Linked DNA regions of Drosophila melanogaster. The protein of the gene in region 2 interacts with the protein of the main gene of each other region in a pairwise test. Each region holds a gene or a part of one and is shown on either strand. Other genes may lie near its edges.

Evidence for each region. The genes of interacting proteins can lie anywhere in the genome.
Region 1: the proteins of Polr2F (region 2) and Dcps interact in a two-hybrid assay, tested with the Drosophila melanogaster proteins (one large-scale study listed by BioGRID).

What each region holds. Positions count from the first base shown.
Region 1 is NT_033777.3:5,752,044-5,756,724, forward strand, and holds Dcps (decapping enzyme, scavenger), read right to left. Parts: upstream 2,732-4,681; 5' UTR 2,635-2,731; coding exon 2,466-2,634; intron 2,405-2,465; coding exon 2,258-2,404; intron 2,197-2,257; coding exon 1,388-2,196; 3' UTR 1,275-1,387; downstream 1-1,274. Other genes in the region: Sec8 (secretory 8), read right to left, coding at 3,115-3,291, 3,360-3,566, 3,621-4,224, 4,278-4,679.
Region 2 is NT_033777.3:5,370,134-5,374,445, reverse strand, and holds Polr2F (RNA polymerase II, I and III subunit F), read right to left. Parts: upstream 2,652-4,312; 5' UTR 2,560-2,651; coding exon 2,531-2,559; intron 2,469-2,530; coding exon 2,102-2,468; 3' UTR 2,049-2,101; downstream 1-2,048. Other genes in the region: hd (humpty dumpty), read left to right, coding at 56-213, 271-1,771; CG34277 (uncharacterized protein), read right to left, coding at 2,971-3,011, 3,070-3,960, 4,023-4,026; CG31542 (uncharacterized protein), read right to left, coding at 4,196-4,312. UniProt on the Drosophila melanogaster protein: DNA-dependent RNA polymerases catalyze the transcription of DNA into RNA using the four ribonucleoside triphosphates as substrates.

The DNA.
Region 1 (4,681 bases), 380 kb from region 2:
CGCGCGTGTACGAGGATCAACCACCTACAAAGGCTATGTAGCCATTTTTATATGCTTAGCAACCAAGGCGGTCCACTTGGAAGCCGTCACTGGACTTTCAACAGAGCACTTCCTGCAAGCATTTACGCGATTCACCGGACGTCGAGGACAAGTTCAACATATGTATAGTGATAACGGCACAAATTTTGTTGGCGCGAGTACATCGCTTAACCAGCCCATCACTTGCAAGGCAGCCCTAAACGAATCGACATGTCAACATGGGACAAGGTGGCATTTCACACCTCCATATTCTCCCAATTTTGGTGGCATCTGGGAGGCAAACGTGAAAGCAATGAAGCATCATCTTAAACGGATCGTCGGCAGCCACAAGCAGACGTATGAGGAGCTTACTACAGTTTTGATCAGGATTGAAGCATGTTTGAACTCACGTCCACTTTGCCCGCTAACCGCCGACCCTGACGATTTAGAAGTACTAACTCCAGCACATTTCTTAATTGGTGACGCACTACTGGCACCGCCACAAGGTCGGCCGAATAATAAGCCTTTGCGTGAACTATTTCTCGCACAACAACACATGACGCGACAATTCTGGTCTCAATGGTCTCGTGATTGGTTATCACACTTGCAAACTCGGCCAAAGTGGTGCCAAATCAAAGATAATCTTAACATCAACGACTTAGTCATTATAAAGGATGATAATCTACCACCAGCTAAATGGACTATAGGCCGAGTCGTCGAACTGCACCCTGGATCGGACTCGCTAGTCAGAGTGGTTACATTAAAGACGAAATCTGGCATTCAAAAGAGGTCAATCACAAAGCTTTGTCCACTTCCGATTTCAACATAATTATGATCAACACACGGATCAAGAATCACAAGGAGCCTTCATGCTGGACGACGCATTGGCGGGCGGCATGTACGGATTATGAGCGGAGTCACCCGGTGCTTCAGCTGTCTTAACAGCGGATTAACATTTTATATATCGATGCTAATTGAACTGAACTGTATTCTTTCTTTCGCTCTTGTAATTTTGCGGTCATAGCGATCAGACGTGATTTTTGTATATGAAAAAATAAATGAAGTTAAATAGTGTATATATGATTCTTATTTGCGAACCCCATTACAATGATGTCAAAGCAGTGAGGCATCACAACTATTCACGAGGTACTCAGAATTCAATCGTTTTCTCTTAAGCGACTGTTTTTAAATGTGTGAAACGAAAAGAAATATTCTGAATATTTTATAACAATTAATAATGTGTACTTCCAGCAAGTGCTCTCAAACGAAATTTTTGAAAATAACTTTATTTTGAATTGAATGATCATAAGTAGGATGTATTTTTGATAGGCAACATCTAGGGTTAGCTTTCTCATTAAGTAATACCAGTTTAGGCACACGCCTGAACAGCGGACTCGGCCTCCTTGGGCTCCGGCGAGCCCAACTTTATGCGCTTGCACTGCCTCTCCTCCGGCTCCTCATCGCTAAAGCCTTCCGGTGGAGCGACGTTCAAAGAGTCTGAGTCAGGGAGCTCCTTATCGTCGCTCGATACTGTCAGCGCTCTAATGGGTAGCTCCTGCTCATAGAGATCCAACAGCTTATTGCCTTCGTACAGGACAAACGGCAAGGTGGCTCGCTGATAGTAGTCCGGCATCAGCTCCAAGTTGTTGATCACCGTGTCCAGCATGTGGGACTTCTCGCACCATATGCCCGGTGCATCGTTCCGTACTGGATTGATGTGCACGTGGAGGTGATAGAAGGACGGCTGGTAATGAAAGTACATGCGCAGCTGATTGGGATTAATGCCGTATAGCTTGGCAATTGCGTCCTTCGACGCTTGGCGCACGTTGCGCAAAAGATCGAGATGACTTTCATTCAAGTCGCGCAGAGACTTGATGTCGCGCTTGTGGACAATTCCCAGCAGATAGAGGGTTTCCACATTGCGTCCGTCCCATTTGAGATCGGGCAGAAGGATAAAGCCAGTCTTTGGATCCCTGTCCTCGTACACGATACGTTCCGTCTCCTGCTTATGCTCGAGTATGTTGTAGACCCACTCGAGGGAGAATTGACTTGAGGTGAGATATGGAAGAGTTATTCTTTGGTAGAGATCAGGAGTCTCCCGGATGAGATACTTTTGAGATACTGAGTATTTCTCGATGTGCTTCTCGGTGGCGGGATAAATGACTGTGCTTTTCACACCTGCGAAATGAATGATAAAAATCTATGATTTATCAGTATGAATTATGAATCTAATATTTACTGCACAAATCCTGGGTCGGCACAACCTGAAAACTGCCGTAGATATTGTTGATAAACTCAGTGTCAACTTTCAGGTCCGCGGTAAAATAGCTAGGCTTCTTGGGAGACTCTTCTGATGACGCCGTGGCCACATCGCTTTCCCGGTACGCTGCGGTTAGTAAGGATTATACTGTAGCGAACATTAGTTGCTTTCATTTACGCTTTTATACCATTTTTCTCGAAAACAACAATGGCATCATCGGTTCCTAAATCCGGAAAAGTGCCAAGCAGGGATATACTTTTCCTAACGCTGTTGTTGGTTAGGATTCGCTTCAGTTGGAACTTGGATAAGTCGTACGACGGCGACTTTACCTCTGTGCTATCAACTGTTTCCGACATTTTTGTTAATAATAACAACAATAATAATAGCTAGAAAGATATATTTATTTTTATTTTCTTGCGGCTTTTCAGAGAGGCAGCGTGACCATGACTGGGCTGCACGAAAATTCCATACTCATTTCGTAAGTCCATTTAGCGAGCACTCAAACCCTGTTAAATAACATTGCTGAAACGGTTTAGCAACCGGTTGAGTTGAAAAAATGTTAAAATTAGATACACTAGATGCAGCAAATTAATACAGTCAAAACATCGTTGTTGAATTCTCATTTATTGTGTATAGGCCATTGAAGTACTGTTAATGATCTTTAGAATATGTATCTTTACAAACGGCTACAACACTAAGTGCTCGCCAATCATGTTCAGAACATTCGCAATTATTTTGAGCTTAACACTAACATACAATTTGCACTTACACCTGCAGCCGATGTAAACAAAAGTATGGATATTAAAATTGGTTTTACCCGCCGCCTGCCACGCTAACTACACAACTACTCCCTTCGAGGGCTTGGCGCCTAGTATGTCCGACAGCTTCTGCTGATAGGAAGCGAGGAGATTGGCGTCGGTTATGCCGAAGGACTTGCAGGACAACTGCAAGGCATTGAGCAGCTGCATTTCCGAGAACTGAGTGCCCCGCTCCAGCAACGCATTGAGTATTTCCTGTGGGTAAGTGCAAAGTGTTTCTAAGTAAAAAGGTGAATTACAAAACTTGGGCCAATCACTCTTACGTCTGGCTCCATGCAAAGCAGCTCATAGAAGTGTCTCGCCTGATCCAAAGCCACTTCCCTGGAGGCAGTTATGTTACTCAATGTTTGCTGCAGGGCAATCGCGTTCCTGCACATGCGCTGCACGGTTATTTGATCTATGTGCTCCAGATAATTGGAGGCCTGGATAAGAATGCGCGATGCCAAGTGCGCCAGACCCTCGAAAATGTACTAGAGAAGAATACGTTCGAGCAAAATGCAACTGGAGACGAATATTCAACTTACCCTGGTCTTCCTCGGATGTAGAGTGGCACTAAACGCCTCATCCATCTCAGACAGTCGTTTGGTCAGAACTTGCACCTGGCGGTCGGGCTCCAAGATATCATCCTTGGAGCCCACATAGCTGTTGGTCCTTACACTCGACTTCGAGCGCAGATAGTGGAAGCATTGAACGCGCACCTCCAGATGCAATACCAGCAGGCAGGTGTTCGCCAGCTCATCAAACTCCAAAGCCAGATTAGTCATCACTTTGATCGTCCCATCCTTCACAGCAATGTCGGCGCCGCACTCAGCTGGAACGGCGTTAAGTCCGTTTACCAACGGCCGGCGTAAGTCGTTGGCAAATTCCGACACTCGGCACGAAAACCACTCCATGCTCTCCTGCAGTATGGCCAGCTCCTTAAGCACACTGATCTCGACCAAAATCTCTTGTTGGGTGATCCCACCCTCGCCTAAATTACTGGTCAGCATTTCAGCCTCGCGGATGTTGCGCTGCTGAACCTGCAACGGGCTCTCCTCCTCCGACGGCTCAAAGCTTCCGCGATGCAGTTTTCGGTTGTGGCGCGACTTCTGACTGTAGGTCTTTAAATCAGTCCAGTTGGGAAGCGTTCTAAATAGTGAAGAAACTATAAATTCATGTAGCTTTTATACCTTTATACTTACTTTAAAAACCTGCTGATATCTTCATCTTTAAGCCATGCCACGCTGTAAATTCTCTTATCCTCTGAATCTGGCTGCACGATTCCGCGATAGGCCGCCTGACATATTTCCCGATAGGCCTTCAACAACGCGCACACCATTTTAAGCAGGTCTTCGGAGTAGCAGGGCAAGTCTTGAATGAGGTTCTTAGTTTCCATCAACCTCCGTTCGACCATCACAGTAGACTGCAGCAACGGCCTGCTTAGATTAAGAGCCTTTATTTCCTCAGGACTTATAATAGTGCGCCATGCGTCTTGATTCTTCGACAGCGACTCTATGGTCAGCTGCAGGTTGCGGTTGTGGCCTTTGGTTAGGAATGTGTCCTTAATGTAGTTGTCTAAAAAGTCATGTAGACTGCAGGGTTGCCT
Region 2 (4,312 bases):
GTAAGGACTCGGAGGAGCACCTGCCCGCCACTAATGTTGTTGTTTCGTTTTCCAGTTCATCAAACTGCAGCGGCTCAAGCAGAAGAAGAACAAATTGGCAGCCCGCGTGAGCAACAACAACAATAGGCGGCCAAGACACCAAGTGGATGAGACGGATAAAAGCAAGCTACTGGAGGCTAAGCTCGCCCAGAAGCGAAAAAATCCGTTTGCGAAGTGAGTTTCCCTCTCTCTCGCTCTCCCCAAAATCCAATTACTGACTCCCTGCCTCAGATCCACAGCTGATGCCAAGAAACTGCGCGTTGATCCGCAACTGGCGGACCTCGAACCAGTGGTCACTGCCTCCTCCTGCTTTGTGCGGGAAACGCCCACGCGCCCGGCGCCCGCCAAATTCGTGCTCCAGAAGTACGACCCGCAGGCCTTTGCCAAGCTCTTCCAGCATCCCCAAATCAACGCTGAGGACGAGGACGATGCGGAGTTGGCCGCCCGGCAGAAGCACACCGCCCACCTACCTGTGGACTGGTCCCTGAAGACGCGAGCCCGTTTCTTCTGTCCCACGGAACTGCCTGCCATCCAACTGAAGACCTCGCAGCTGGCCAGCGGACTCACCAGCTTCGTGCGCTGCATGGACCCGCAGCGAACGGAGAGCACGCTGGATATCTCGGACGCAACGCGGTTCAACCAATGCAATTACTACTGGCAGCACCCGCACCTGCCCTGGCTGACGCTCTACCCGCGCACCGCCAAGGAGAACGTGGGCGTGGTGGTGGGTGAGCGGGAGCGCAAGGCCCTGGCCGAGGAGTGGGACTTCAGCTTCCGGGGCCTATTTCAGCTGCTGCGTGCCCGCCAGTGCCCGTACTTCTACCTGTGTGCCAACACTTTTACGGTGCTGTTCCGAGCTGCCGGAGTTGGCGGTCGGCCGGAGAGCCACGCCTTGGTCACGCCGTCGACTCGGGGAATGCGGCAAGCTCTGCGACAGGAGGGGATCGAGTTCAGCATGCCTCTTAAGAGCGATAACAGTGGAAACGCGCACGACAACAGTTTTAACGAGGAGAGCACTACCACCTCGCTAGGTCCAGAAGCGGGCGAAGATGCTCCTCCGCCGGCACAGGAAGATGAAGACGACGACGAGGACTGGCTGGAGAGCTTGGGCGTGGATGAGCGTGAGCTGCGACGTATCCAGTCCTCCCATGCCAGGAAGCAACAAGCTGCCGAAATGCGAGAGGACTTTAGCGACAACTCCTTGCTGCTGGTCGATGGCGTGGAGTGCCAGGGATTCTTTAGCTATCTGCTAAATGCCAAGAGTGCCATCAGCACAGTGGGCCGTCTGGCCGGAGTGCCTCCCACTCTGCTGTCGCCAGTGGCCTTCCCCAAGGCCACCATGCAGCACTTGGTTCCGCGGTCCAAGAAAGTGCGTCTGGATGGCGTCGACTACTTTAGCATAGACATTAAGGGCCTAATCCTACCTACATTCCTGCCCAGTGTGGCGGAGCTGCTGTCCGAGACGCGCCAGATGTTTAGCTCCACGCTGGCCAGCAGCATCAATACGCTGGCCTTTAGCAAGGCCACCCAAAAGCTGCTTGAAACTCCGGAGACGCCACAGTCAGATGCGGAAGGAGAAGATGCCGCCGGGCAGGTCTTTGGCGAGCAGAATCTTTCGGAGTGTGGTCTGCTGCCGGCAGTAGTTGGCTCCATCTGCCGCACGGGCCAACATGCCGTAGGTCTTTTAGAGCGCGTTTGCTATCAAAGAGATGAGGGATATGCTTGGAGCTAGACACCAAGTGCTCCTCACACTAGAGCAGCTTTGTTTTCCTAATCTGTACGTCTGTTATGTGAAATAAAATATTGTAGTAGAATAGCAAGCCCGTGGTGTCATTGTTTTTCGTACTAATCGCATGGTAGCAAGTATCTGTGGCTACTTCAGATTATAGCGGTATTAAGAGATAATATTAAAGCAAAGGGATTGCTTACAAGATAACTATCGTGTAGCAATTAGCGCTTGCAGTTCGTCATTACATTAAGTCCCCGGGAATTCAGCAGCCAAATTGATTGTGCTTAATCTTAGGCGGTATGATTTATTATGGATAAAGGGGTTGAGTACTAGCTAGTTGTCCACCATGATGAGCTCGTCGATGCTCCAGTCCTCGTAGGAGTGATCCGGCAGGTATCGGCGGATGATGATGGGAATTTTCTTTTGTTTCAGCTCTTTCATGGCGATCTGCAGGGGGTCCGTTTCCCCGTCCAGCTCCACCATGATGGGTGCGCACATGGCGATCTGAAGCGCTCGTGTGCCCAGAACTCTGGCGCGCTCGTATTTCGTCATGTACTTTGTGGTAATGCGCTTGGACTTGGGCACACCGCCTCCGCCCGCACCACCGGGAGCTATGATCTCGATGTTGTCCGCCTCCTCCTCCTGGTTAATGTCCTCGTCCACGTCCTCGTCGACGTCGTCGAAGTCATCGCCGCCAACGCTGCAATTGTTAAGTAGGTGATTAATGGGCACAGCTATTGATTGTGTTACGCCTGCACTTACTCGTCGTTGTCGTAGTCCGCATCATCCATCACTGCTTTTCTATTGTTTTAATCGAAATTAAATAGTAAAGTGCGGCGTGTTTTGCACGCGTCGCAGTCTTCTTCTTCTTTCACACTGCTGCATGCGGTTTTCAGCACTGGAGCACAGTGCGCAGAACTTCCAGTGCTTCTCAAACTTTCAGGGCTGCATTTCTGGCAAATGGAAAAGTGATTACTTATCGAATAGCCGTCTGTGTCGCGAGTATTTGAAATTGGTGGAATTCGTATAAAGGTTAGACTATTTGAATATTTTAAAGTTTAAACTACTAAAATCTGATTTATACGTCTTCCTAAAATAATTTAATCCAATTAGAGTAGTTGATTCCATAAAATTTAAATTATAAATAGTTAAATAATAATCAAATGAAACACTTACCTATTGGTTTGTTATATTTTAGCCCTTCATCTAAACGGACATTTAACGTAATCGAATTCAGTATTTTCTTAATAAAAAAAGGGAATATTAGTCGCCTGCTCCTGGATAACTTGGAAAATACAAACCTTGTAATCCCGGATGAGTTCTGTGATAATATGGACGCTGGAGTGATGCGGTTGGTGGGCGAGTTCTGGGCAAAGATGCCGCGGGACAACCGGCTGGATTAGGTTCGTACGAAGGGGGGTATGCCGGAGAATATCCGGATGGAGCTGGTGGATGTCGATTTCCGGGCGGACTGCTTGGAGCTAGATATCCCGGCTCGTAGTCGTAGTCGACGCAGGTGCGAATGGAGACGTTTCTTCGTCTGCCAGCGGGGCCTCGATGGATGGCTTCCCTGTCGAAGCGATTCAGATCGAAGTTGGCTAGAGGATCCACTTCCCGCTGACGCGTGCTTCTGGGAGGATACGGATAGTAGGGATCCTGGGGTTCCTGGCAGTTTTCATTTATCGCGTGAACGGCGGGCTGAAACGATCGCGAGGAGTCGCTGCATGGAATCTCAGAATGTGGGTCCGGCTGCAGCAGAATTGGCTCCTCCAAAGCCACTTTCCGATTCTCGCCTAACCCGATGGGGTATGGATCCGAATGATACACCCGTGTCCTCCGCGCAGCTGCTCCACTATGTCCGTTTCCTGGGCAATTGGTACAGCATCTCTGCGGCTTGTTCCCGGAGGTGTCGCAAACCATTTGCCTTGCGGGCTCCGGAGCTAAGGCACAGCAGCATCGCTGGCGGATCTTAGTGGGCGGAGGTAAACTACGGCTTATCGGCGCTTGAGGAGTGCAGCAGCACCGGGTTTCCGCAGCCACGCCCTTTGGTGGCCGCTGTGAGCGAATCACGAAGCAGTGGCGACTGCGATTCCGCTCCGGATTCCGCTGGCTTCCGCGGCAGTTGCAGATGTCCTGCCCGGAGCTGAGCTGCGCTGGCCTCCGACCCACCTGGTAGGCGCTCGGACTGTTCCCTGTCCGGAAGGAGACGCTGATGTATTAAAGGAACACACACATACCACCTGTTTTACTTTACCCATTAGCGGTCACATTGGCTTTATTGACCCGGAAAACAGGTCGAAACTGGAAATTTGGCTAACCTGAAATTTGGGAGTACTGTCATGTCATGTTGTGAGCGTTATAATCTGTGTAGCCTGCTGCGTAGCGCCTGCTGGGATCCCAACGTTCTCCCGTGGCACGACATCCAGATCACTGAATGACGCACTTCTTCTGCTTCTTCTGCGATCGACAGTGGCCGCAGGAGTTCGGGTTCTGACTCTGGTTGCCGTGGTGCGGGCGATAGGGTTGCGGTCCTCTGGGCACGTT